3 linked regions of the Macaca mulatta genome follow. The protein of the gene in region 2 purifies or fractionates together with the protein of the main gene of each other region. This does not show direct contact. Links are inferred from orthologs where the notes say so. Each region holds a gene or a part of one and is shown on either strand. Other genes may lie near its edges.

Region 1 (3,649 bases), on a different chromosome or scaffold from region 2:
TGCTTTCTTTTATGAAAGTAAATGCAAACGAATACAGCCTTTTTACTTAATTCTTTCTAAATAACATAATTTTCTCCTTTATTTTACCTAACAGGTCTATATCGTCCCCCGGGCTGCCATCTTTCGCAGTGATGATGCACTCAAGGAATCAGCAGCCATGCTAAATAACATGCGTGTCTATGGCACAGCTTTCTTGGTCCTTATGGTATTAGTGGTATTTATCGGCGTACGCTATGTGAACAAGTTTGCCTCACTTTTCCTGGCCTGTGTCATTGTGTCCATCTTGGCCATCTATGCTGGAGCCATCAAGTCTTCTTTTGCCCCTCCACACTTCCCGTACGTGTCTGTCTCTCTGCCTAGCCATCTTTGTTGGGTAGTAATTGAAAATATCTGGTGGTGTGATAATTTTAAGTCAGAATTTCATGGAGTCTCTCCGAGATTTTCCCTCTTGGATAAGCCCATTTAGAGTTCCTTCCCCATCTAGGCAGGAAGCCTCCCAGCAAACTATGTCCTGTTCATCCTCTTTCTTATGTCCCAAACATAGAACTAGTAACTGTAACCATAATTTATGTTCAGATATTAGATTTTTTTCTCCCTGATAATTGTACATAATCTTTTTTTAATTATACATATTTTGAACTATTCATAAAGGGCTTTGCAGACAGTGTAGTTATTGCCAGCAGCCTTTATAAGGTATTTAAATGTTGGATTTCTTTTACTAATGAAAAATCAGGGGAGTCAAAAGAAACCTAAAATCTTACCTAAAATGTTTAATTAATTAAATTTTTTTTTCTGTCAGTATTGTAATGGACTAGTCATAAAGGGAAATACTGTACAATTTGCATGCATCTCTCTATATATGTAATATTACATACTATAATACAGCTACTTTTTTCAACCTTGATTTTATTTTTTTTAATTTGTATAAACTTATGGGGGTACAGGTGTAATTTTGTTACATGCACATGTTGTGTATTGGTGAATTCAGGGCTTTTATTAAGAGTTGGAATCTCACTTTGTTGCCCAGGCTGGAGTGCAGTGGCATAATCTTGGCTCATTGCAACCTCAGCCTCCTGGGTTCAAGCAATTCTCCTGCCTCAGCTTCCCAATTAGCTGGAATTACAGGCATGTGCCACCACACCCAGTTCTTTTTTTTTTTTTTTTTTTTTTTTTTTGTGAGACAGTCTTGCTCTGTCACCCAGGCTGGAGTGCAGTGGTGCAATCTTGGCTCACACAACCTCTGCCTCCTGGGTTCAAGTGATTCTCCAGTCTCAGCCTCCCGAGTAGCTAGGACTACAAGCACACACCACCGTGTCCAGCTAATTTTTGAATTTTCGGTAGAGGTGAGGTTTCACCATGTTGGCCAGGCTGGTCCTGAACTCCTGATCTCAAGTGATCCGCCCACCTCGGCCTCCCAGAGTGCTGGGATTACAGGCGTGAGCCACTGCGCCCAGCCTAGGTCAGGGCTTTTATCCATTACCCAAATAATGTACTTTGTACCCATTAAGTACTCTCTCACCATTTACCTCCTCCTTCAACTCCCTAGTGCAAGTACTTTAAAGTATGTTTTTTGAAGTAGTAATGGATTTGTGCAGATCTGTGACTCACAGGCTCCCTTTTCCCTTTGACTAGTGGCATAGGGACTAGCTGGCACTGAGTGTTATTTGTAGTTTTGTTACAGAATTATCTTGAAGAGTCATCTGGATTATCTGAGGATCAAACTCATTGGTTCTATGTTGATTTAAACAGATTACAGAAAAAAAGATTTTTCAAGACAAAAAGACAGTTCCAATAGGTTTAATGACTTACCTCAAAGTTAATTAATGGCAGAGCAAGAAGATGAACTGTGATTTCCTGACTCCCCATTCAGTATTTCTTCTGTGCCACGCTACATGATGGCAGAAGAAGATTCCATCTTAAACTTTTAATCTGCTTATCTAGGGACTGTAATATAGCTGAAGGTCCTTTCTAGGGTCATACAATTTCTAAAGCTGACATTCTGGTTATATCTCAATTTGGGAAATTCCATTTTGTCTCAGGTTCACCTTTGGGACTTCTCCTCTTTTTTGATTAGTACACGGTCATAATGCATGGTATTTTCTTTGAGATATTCCAGCAAAACAAGACAAAAAATCTAGAATACATGAAACAAGACTGAGAAATGTTGAGAGTTGTTGAAGCTGAGTAATAGGTACATGGTTCATAATAATGTATTCAATCATTTTACAGATTTTAAAAGTCCCTTTGTTGGACCTGAGAGGTATTTTAACTATGGATGTATTATTCCTTTGTTTATATTTGTGTCTCTGGGTTAAAGAAAAAAATAAAACCAGCAGGTTAATATTTGTGTTATCCTTACCCTCACTCCCACTGGGTCTAGGCTTAAGTTCAAAAACAGTTTTCTCTTAGGCCATAGAGGGATCTGCCTTTTAATTCTGGCCAAGCTGTTTTCCTTGCAACAGTAGCCAGAAGATTCAACCTTTAGCATAACATTTTCAAGGGGTTTGTTAAGAATGTAAGGCTTTTCTAGGCCAAAAAAAGAGGAGTGCTTTTTTCTTTATAAGAACAACAAAAGAACTTCAGTATTCTTTTAGACCTAACAATTTTAGCCAAAAATTTTGGAAGATGAGTCAGCATAATGTCTTCAGACAGTTCTTCAATTTGAGTTCCTTCACTGCCACCTACCACCTATGACCTTGGACAGATAACTGTATTTCCCTAACCTTCAATTAACTCCCTAACTTCCTAAACTTCAGTGCTTCCATCCACAACATAGAAATTCTAATACATTGTGAGGTTGCTGTAAGGATTAAATTGGCAGAAAATGTAAGTCGCCATTCACAGTGCTAAAATAAATTATAAATAAATAAACATTAGTTCCCTTCCCACCCATGACAGTAGAAGCTCTTAAAGATGGGGTTCTTGTTTCCTTTACTAACCTGTTTCCTTTTTTTCTTTTGTAATGTGTTTTTTTCCCTTACTTGATCTTTCTCCCTATTTCTTTTCACTTAGGGTCTGCATGCTGGGTAACCGCACCCTTTCATCAAGACACATTGACGTTTGCTCTAAAACCAAGGAAAGTAACAACATGACAGTCCCATCAAAGTTATGGGGATTCTTCTGTAACTCGAGTCAATTTTTCAATGTCACCTGTGATGAATACTTTGTTCACAATAATGTCACTTCAATCCAGGGCATTCCTGGATTGGCTAGTGGTATCATTACAGGTAAGTTAGGGAGTTATTGGACAAGTTTTTTCCTATTTTCTGGGGAAAATAGGCCTTGTCATCTTAGATTCTTCTGCTGTCCATAAAGATTCACTGCCATGGTGCTAATTTCCTTAAGCATACCACACAGCTCTTAATTCAGCATATTTCTGCTTTTCCATTAGTAAAGCTGTCCTTATTCAGGACTCCTTTACAGAGTGATGTCTGCTAAAATTCACCTCCATTTCAGAGCAGAGTTGAGCAAATCACTTTCTAATCTTAGGATAAATTATTCTGTGCATTCTTGTAAAATTGCCAGTGTTCTTCCTGCACTGACAGAATAGAACTATTTTAATGTCCACATCCACATGTATCTTCCTAACTTAGCTAAATTCCTGAAACATTCCTTAAGTGGCTTCTATTATAAATGTTTGGTCTATAAA
Region 2 (3,649 bases):
GACCATGGCAGCTTCAGCCCCACACCAAGGGAGGCTGGGAACAGATGGGAGTGAGTGGAGCCCTGCTGAGGGCACTCCAGTTAGGGTGGGGTACTGAGTCCTGGAGCTTTGGGGCCCCCAGTGTCACACAGTGTCCCTTCCACTCTGTCTCTTCTTGTCGCTCTGCCAGCCCACCCTCCCCATTGCCACCAGCACTGTTCGCACAGGGCAAACCATCACTGCATCCAAAAGGCCAGTGCTGCATACACAGCTTGCCGAGGGTTCCCAGCAATGCGGGGGGCAGGGCAGAAGCGAACGCCAGGCCAACCACACTCCTCATCCAGAGTCCCCTCCCCACACCTCGGGCACCCTGCAGCCACACCTGTGCTGCTCCCCTGCTTGGCATGCCCTCCCTCCTCACCACCTCTCCAAGTCCTATTCGCATCCCCAGTGGCAGGAGTTCTCAACCTTTCCGTGAGCCAAGGACCACTCTGGCAGTCTGGTGAAGCCCATGGACTCCTTTGAAGTATGTGAAATCAATGACATAGGATGATAAAGGGAACTACTGAGTACTGGAATACACCTCATCGACATTCGTGCTTCCTTATGAACACATTGAACAGTGAGAACTAGTAAGAGATCTAATAACTACTGTGACACTGAAACACTGATGCATGTAAAGTTCAAGGTATCTGCAACACTGTGAGGTGATGGGAAGGCATCTGTGATTTCTACTGGTGGTAAAGCCATAGGCACCACTAATACGACTGAGCGTCATTGCCTACATTAATCATTGCAGGACAAACAGACATCCTTCAGTGCTATGGATGGGTTAGTGGTTAGTGAAGATAAAAGGTGCAATGTTTTCCAGCCCTGTCTGCTGACCTGCTAAATTCCATCCATGGACCACTCAGGGGCCCTCATGCTGCAAGGCTCGGCCCTAACTCCACTGCCTCGCCCTCCTGTGAGTTCCAGCCACACCATGGTGGGCTCTTTTCTCCAGGCCTGAGTTGCCCTCCACAGCCCTAAGCACTTGCTAAGTGCAAGGCATGAACCCCAAATGCTGATCGGATTGAATTTTCCTGCATGCGTCATCCGAAGTGGGGTGAGGGGCTAGGGAACCACTGCTTCCCTCAGCCACCTGGAAGCTGGTGGCTGGACACTCTTAGGGACTGCTACGTGGGCTGTGATTGGCCACTGCTATGGTGGCTGGTGACTTACATTCTCCAGTCGCCATGCCCGGAGTGCTCCTTCCCTCTCTTGGGCTTTACCAGCTCCAGAAATTAGCTCTCCCCGCCCTGGGCGCATCTATGGGTGTTCTGGTTGGCTGCCCCAACCCCGCCACCAGCCCCTCAGGGCAAGGCAGGTCTGAGCCTGAGGCTGACCACAGGACCACACCGTGCCAGGCCCGGTGCCAGGTGTGTCCTCACCTGCTTCACATTGTAGCCAGTCTTCGCGCTGGTCTCAATGAACATGACGCTCAGTTCTTTGGCGCGCTGCTCCCCCTCCTCGATGGTTATCTGCCTAGAGATGAAGGGAAGGGGGGAAATCAGTTCAGCAGAGGAGCAGCCCCTGGCAGAGATGAGGAGGGACCCGCCCAGCATGGCAGAGGGAGCCCACCAGGCCCTTGGTCAGCCCTGAAGACAGGCTCTGATCCCAGGGGTCCCTCCTGGGCACCAACCATAGTCTCTAGCACAAAGCGAGCACCAGGGAAAAGCAGGACACTATCCCCTTCCCCCACTCCTTCCTTCGTGTCTTCTCAGCTTCAAAGCAGGCCCTGGGGTAGGGATGCCCCACGCCTGCCTTTCCCAGTAGTAATTACTGCAGAGCTTGTGCTTGTGAAGAGATTCAAGCCACACAGTCCACTCTGGGTGGTGCTATTAGTCGCATTTTCCGTATGAGAACACTAATGCTAAAAGTGTCTCCCCCGGGGCCACAAAGCTGCTTAGCAGAGAGGGCTCCATGATGGGGCAGGCAGAAGTGGGTGAGGGTATGAAGGGCCTAGGTGCCCTTTGTACTGGGATTTGAGCCCAGTTTTCCTTACTTTAAGGACAGAACTCTAGTAAAGCAGGCTCTAATTCAGATGATTCCTCAGGTGCTCAAGGGACACTGAGGAAGCCTGCACTGCTTGCTGGAGTCCATGGCCTGTCACTTTATCTGCCCAAGTCAGGGTCACGTGAAACGAGTGGACAGCGTACACACATGGCACCTCAGTTCTCCCTGTGCATGGAGGGCAGCATGGAGGAGACTCTTCAGAGAAAGCTTCATGCCAGATGCAGCCACAAACCAGGCTAAGCAGGCTACAGCTATAGGTTTGTGGTCTGAATGCTCTGCATGCTCACACCTAGGGCCCAGGGTGTTCACACCCCCATGCACACTGGTGCAGACACTTCACAGGCACAGACAGTTCACAGTACACACACTGGGGCTTAGGGAACTGCTGTGTCTGGGGCAGTGCTGTGGCCATGGCAGGGTCTTAGACCATGCACTGCTGGGCCAAGCCAGGTGCACAGGGCTCTGTATAGACAGCACACGGAGGATTGCCCCGCCCCTGCCTGGTGGTGGAAGACAGGGCTTCACAGATGAGACACCCAGGGGTGAGAGTCTACCAGGTGTTCTCAAAGCTCCTAGTGTCTCAAGGGACCTTTTCCGGATGCATGGTCAGAAGCACAGACACACCACCCACGCATCCCAGAGCTCCCCGTCCAGGAGCAGCTGGAGAGGAGTGGAGGGTGGTACCCTGCACCTGTGTGCCCTTTGCACCTACCTCTTATCAGCCAGGTCCGTCTTGTTGCCCACCAGCATGATGATAACATCACTGCCCCTCTCTGTCCTGACGTCGTCGATCCACTTAGAGGTCTGTTGGAAGGAGTTGAGATCTGGAGGCAGAAAGTGAGGAAAAACTGAAAGCCAGGGCCAGCCACCAGCAGGAGATGGGAAGGGGATGTGTGAGCCAGGAGCAGGAGGGAGGGTGAGCATGTGCCCTCAGATACCCAGGGAGGGTATGAGCTCAGTCAACACAGATCAGCCGGGTAGGGCCTTTCAGAGGGAACCGGGCCCTGCCCTGCAGCCCTGGGAGCCGCCTGCACTGTTTAGCCGCCCTTTGTGGGAGAGGAATCACCCCATCTGGAAGATCATGGCGTCATGATTTGCTACATGAAATAGTGGCTTTAGGGGCCCGCCTGAGAGTCAGACCTGACTCTGGGGATTCAGAGTGGAGTGTGAGAACTGGGTCACACGTGTGTGCATATACACACACACACACACACACACACAACTTGGCAAGTTTGGAAACAGTGAGGGGTGGGCAGAGGAGGACACAGAAGCCTCTAGGGAAGGAAGGACCCTACTGAGTGGCCTCCCCACCAGGGGAGCTCAGGAGAGTTAGGGGAAGGCCAGAGGGATTTCTGAAGAGAACCCTCAGGCTCTGCAGGTGAGAGGAGGGGAAAGGTGGCCCCAGGACTAGTCAGGGGAGCCAGGTGCAGTCAAAAATCCAGGAGAGACAAGGCCACTTCTTGGCAGCCTGACCTCCCTCAGCTGCCATGACAAGCCTTGCAGGGCAGAGCAGCTCTAAGGCAAAGCCCACCACTCCGCAGCCTGCACACCCAAGGGGAGGGGAGGCAGCTGTCCTCAGAAGCCTCAGTTTCACACAGCCTGGTATCCCTTCTGA
Region 3 (3,649 bases), on a different chromosome or scaffold from region 2:
TGATGGCTGAAGGGACAAGGGATAGGCTAGGTCTTAGAGGACCATTTACAGGCATTTGTGGGGGAGCTGCTGTGTGCCCAGCTATATGTTTTCTGGATAGCAATACAGTCTCCCCAGAAAGACTAGGCAACAGTGATGGGGCAGGCTGCAGTACGTGAGTTTAGAATAAATTACAATTGATTTCCAGCCAACTTCCACAAAAGAATCAGAAGCAATAGCCAACAAAAGAGTCTCCCCAAGTGATTGTTACTCTCAGGAAGATCGAAAACCATGCAGAGGAAGGGGGCAAGGACTCTGAGATGAGACAGATGGTGACTTTATCTAAAGAGTAAATTTAGCTTGGAGATTCCTGGCAGCCAAAGCAGAAAGAGCAGTAAGACGAGCTGTATAGCTGCCATTTTCTGACAAAATGAAGCATCTGATTTATCAAAGGGAGACACTTTTTTTGTCACAAAAATCCAAGAGTAATTTTCAAAGGCTTTTCACTAAAGGGCCATTAATGTCATTAATGTAAGGGGCAGAGTGTTACTGGGTTTTCAGATTTTTCTTGGGACTCCTGATCCTGAACAAGCATGGAGGGCACAGCAGATATCATAGAGTGTCCAAAGAGCTACATGACCTCACCTGGCTTTAATATGACATGGTGGACTATCTTGACCTCTGGCTGCCTTTGTCCACTGTAGTCCTGGCTCCCATTTTTCTCCCTGCTCAGTCCGACACCCACCGGTCCGACTTTCTTAGGCGACTCTAGAAGGCTCCTGGCATCCACTTCTGCTCTCCATGGCCTAGGGCTTGCCCCGCCTCCCGGCATGCCCTGGGCTGCCCTGCAGGATGCCGCCGCGCAGTGCATAGTGGGGTAGCCAGCCAGCCACCTTCGGGCCATGGCAGCCGAAGGTGCTCTGTGGGGCTTCGTGTATCTGGAGGGCACTGCCTGGGCGGTCCCTGAGGACACCGAGCCCTTGGTATCCTGCACATTGGGTACTCCAGAAAGGCTGGGAAAGGGACTGGGGCGGGGAGGGGATCTGGGGGCGGGTCAAAGGCTAGCCCCGCCCACCAACAGGCCCCGCCCCTCAGTGTCCACACGTGCTTGTGCTAGGGTGCCTGCTCCCTCACCTGGATTCCCTTCTCTGGAGGGAATGATGTCCCAGGTTTTGGTCACTGGCCACTCTCTGGCTATCTCTGGCCCTTCAAGGGCATTGTCATGGTGCGATGTGGAAACTGAGTTCCAACCTGGTGACACTGCAGCTCCAAAGTGCTCCACAGAAACGATGTTTTGGGGACTGGCTTTCTGGGAAGGGGCACAGGCTGGGGGGGCTCAGGAAGCAGGCCCTGATTGTCCCTCTCTCTTCACAGGACATGGCAACCACAGAGAGAGCAGCCCTTTTCTTTCCCCCTTGGAGGCTTCCAGAGGAAGTGACTACTATGACAGGAACCTGGCACTGTTTGAGGTAGCTGAGGAGCCATTTTGGGTCACAGGTTTGGCAGACAGAGGCTTTAGCTAAGCAGTCAGGCTGGACACGTGGCCCTCCTCTGTCTGGCTCTTCCTCTCATTTCCTCTTGTCTTCCTGGCTCTCATGGCAGCCGGGCTGCAGTTCCCTTGGCCCTTTCAACTGAAACTGCCTTCCCAGAGGCCACTCACAACCCCACCCCCATTGCTACCTCCAGGACTGTTCACCTCTGACTTCCTTACAACCCCTCAGCAAGGAAAAGCCCGCTTAGGATTTCCCAACTCAGGATTTCTCCTCTTCCCTCCACTCCTGGTTCTTCTCCAAGTCCATAGTTCTTCGCTCTCCCGAGGATTCTTGTCCTTCTTGGTTGGCTCTTCCAGCTCTGTCTCCCTCTAGTTTCCCGAGTCCTGGTCCATTTGCAGCTTTAGGGGATACCTCTGTGGAAAGATTCCCAAATATCTGCCTCTGTACTTGAGTTTTATCTTCTTCAGACTCAAGCTGAGCAGTGAGATCTGGATTTAAAATGTAGTTTAAGCTCCTAAACTCTGACCCACGCATTCAGCCATTGTATGGCTGAATAATGGAGACTCCTTAATCTCTCTTTTTTTTTTTTCTTTTTTCGTTGAGATGGAATCTCACTGTGTTGCCCCAGGCTGGAGTGCAGTGACGTGATCTTGGCTCATTGCAAGCTCTGCCTCCCAAGCTCAGTGATTCTTCTGCCTCAGCCTCCCGAGTAGCCGGGATTACAGGCGCCTGCCACCACACCTGGGGAATTTTTGTATTTTTAGAGACAGGGTTTCACCCTGTTGGCCAGGCTTGTCTTGAACTCCTGACCTTTAGTGATCCTCCTGCTCGGCCTCCCAAAGTGCTGGAATTATCACTGTCAGCCACCACATCCGGCTGAGGCTCCTCAATCTCCACATGCCCCCAAGGGCCCTCATCTTCCCCTCTCACACCAAAGCAACTTCTCCCTGTGTGTAGGTCAGAAGGGAGCTGACAGAGAGGGAAAAGCTAAATGTGGGCAGGAGGCAGGTGGAGGCACAGCATCGAGAAGGCTGCAGGAGCAGGGATCATCGCCTAGACCCCGGTGGGGCTGGGGAGCCTGAGCTCTGGGAGGCCTCCTGACCTGGGAAAGCAGCAAGATTCTGCAGTGAAGGCCTTGGCCCAGCCCCGCCTGAGGATGAGAGGGTCAGGATCCCATCTCTGTGATTGACGTGGGTACTCACAGGACTGGGGTCAGGGGAAGACCATCCAGGGAGATCAGGGTTTGAGCAGACAAGAGAGACTTCACTTGTCCGAGACATCACTCTTTTGCCCTCTTTTGTTCCCTGAGGTGACTAGGGTGACTTTTTTGTGGGGAGGGTAGGCGTGAGTCCTAGAGGTGCAGCCATAGCTGGGAGGTGGCTGCACAGAGCAGGCAGGATGAAGTGTGCCATTGCCCGCCTGCCAGGCGTGTTCTTCCCTGCCCTCTCTCCCCTGAGGCAGGTGGTTTTCACAAATGGGCTGGCAGTGATTGTAGCCAAGGTGGGGTAGAGAAAAGCAGCCGCGGGGCTGGGCCTTTTGAGTGCCACGTCCTGGGGTGTGGTGTCCACACCTGTCCAGTTGGATGGCTTGGGCTTCCCCAGGCAGGAACTGGGATCAGGCCCAGGCCTGTCTCAGGGCTTGGAACAGGGCCAGGGATCAGGCAGCTGGCTTCACACAGCTGGTACCCGCCTGGCCCAATGCCATCTTGCCCTGTGGCTCTGTTTACAGGAAGAGCTGGACATCCGCCCAAAGGTATCGTCTCTTCTGGGCAAGCTCGTCAGCTACACCAACCTCACCCAGGGCGCCAAGGAGCATGAGGAGGCTGAGAGTGGGGAGGGCACCCGCCGGAGGGCAGCCGAGGTGAGCTGAGTGGGGCAGCAGAGGGGCCACACCTGGGAAGACAGACACAGCACCATGGAATTGGCTGTTTCCCCACATGGTGGTGAGCACACCAGGGGAAGTGGGTGCAAACCATGGTGAGCAGGGAGGATGGGCACTGAGTGCCTTGGCTCAGGAGGCTTTAAGAAGTGAGCTAATGAGAATCTCCCCAGGGACAGAGGGCCAGGGAGGCCCTCAGGAATGACGGCGGGAGACACAGCTGCCTGTACTCAGCCTTTACTGTGTGCGAGGTACCACACCAGGCAGTGGGCCTGGGTTCTCACATGTCATCTGTTCAA

What was found.
Region 1: the proteins of RAB6B (region 2) and SLC12A6 purify together in Homo sapiens (affinity purification with mass spectrometry; 4 studies listed by BioGRID and IntAct, with this or other methods). This does not show direct contact. The link is inferred for Macaca mulatta from reciprocal best matches to the Homo sapiens genes RAB6B and SLC12A6.
Region 3: the proteins of RAB6B (region 2) and SLC12A4 purify together in Homo sapiens (co-immunoprecipitation; 3 studies listed by BioGRID and IntAct, with this or other methods). This does not show direct contact. The link is inferred for Macaca mulatta from reciprocal best matches to the Homo sapiens genes RAB6B and SLC12A4.

What each region holds. Positions count from the first base shown.
Region 1 is NC_133412.1:11,449,063-11,452,711, reverse strand, and holds part of SLC12A6 (solute carrier family 12 member 6), read left to right. Parts: intron 1-94; coding exon 95-336; intron 337-3,012; coding exon 3,013-3,227; intron 3,228-3,649.
Region 2 is NC_133407.1:36,883,959-36,887,607, forward strand, and holds part of RAB6B (ras-related protein Rab-6B), read right to left. Parts: intron 2,859-3,649; coding exon 2,747-2,858; intron 1,504-2,746; coding exon 1,410-1,503; intron 1-1,409. UniProt on the Homo sapiens protein: The small GTPases Rab are key regulators of intracellular membrane trafficking, from the formation of transport vesicles to their fusion with membranes. Rabs cycle between active GTP-bound and inactive GDP-bound states.
Region 3 is NC_133425.1:63,540,431-63,544,079, reverse strand, and holds part of SLC12A4 (solute carrier family 12 member 4), read left to right. Parts: intron 1-866; exon of another isoform or gene 867-881; coding exon of another isoform or gene 882-978; intron 979-1,304; coding exon 1,305-1,448; intron 1,449-3,200; coding exon 3,201-3,332; intron 3,333-3,649. UniProt on the Homo sapiens protein: Mediates electroneutral potassium-chloride cotransport when activated by cell swelling. May contribute to cell volume homeostasis in single cells. May be involved in the regulation of basolateral Cl(-) exit in NaCl absorbing epithelia.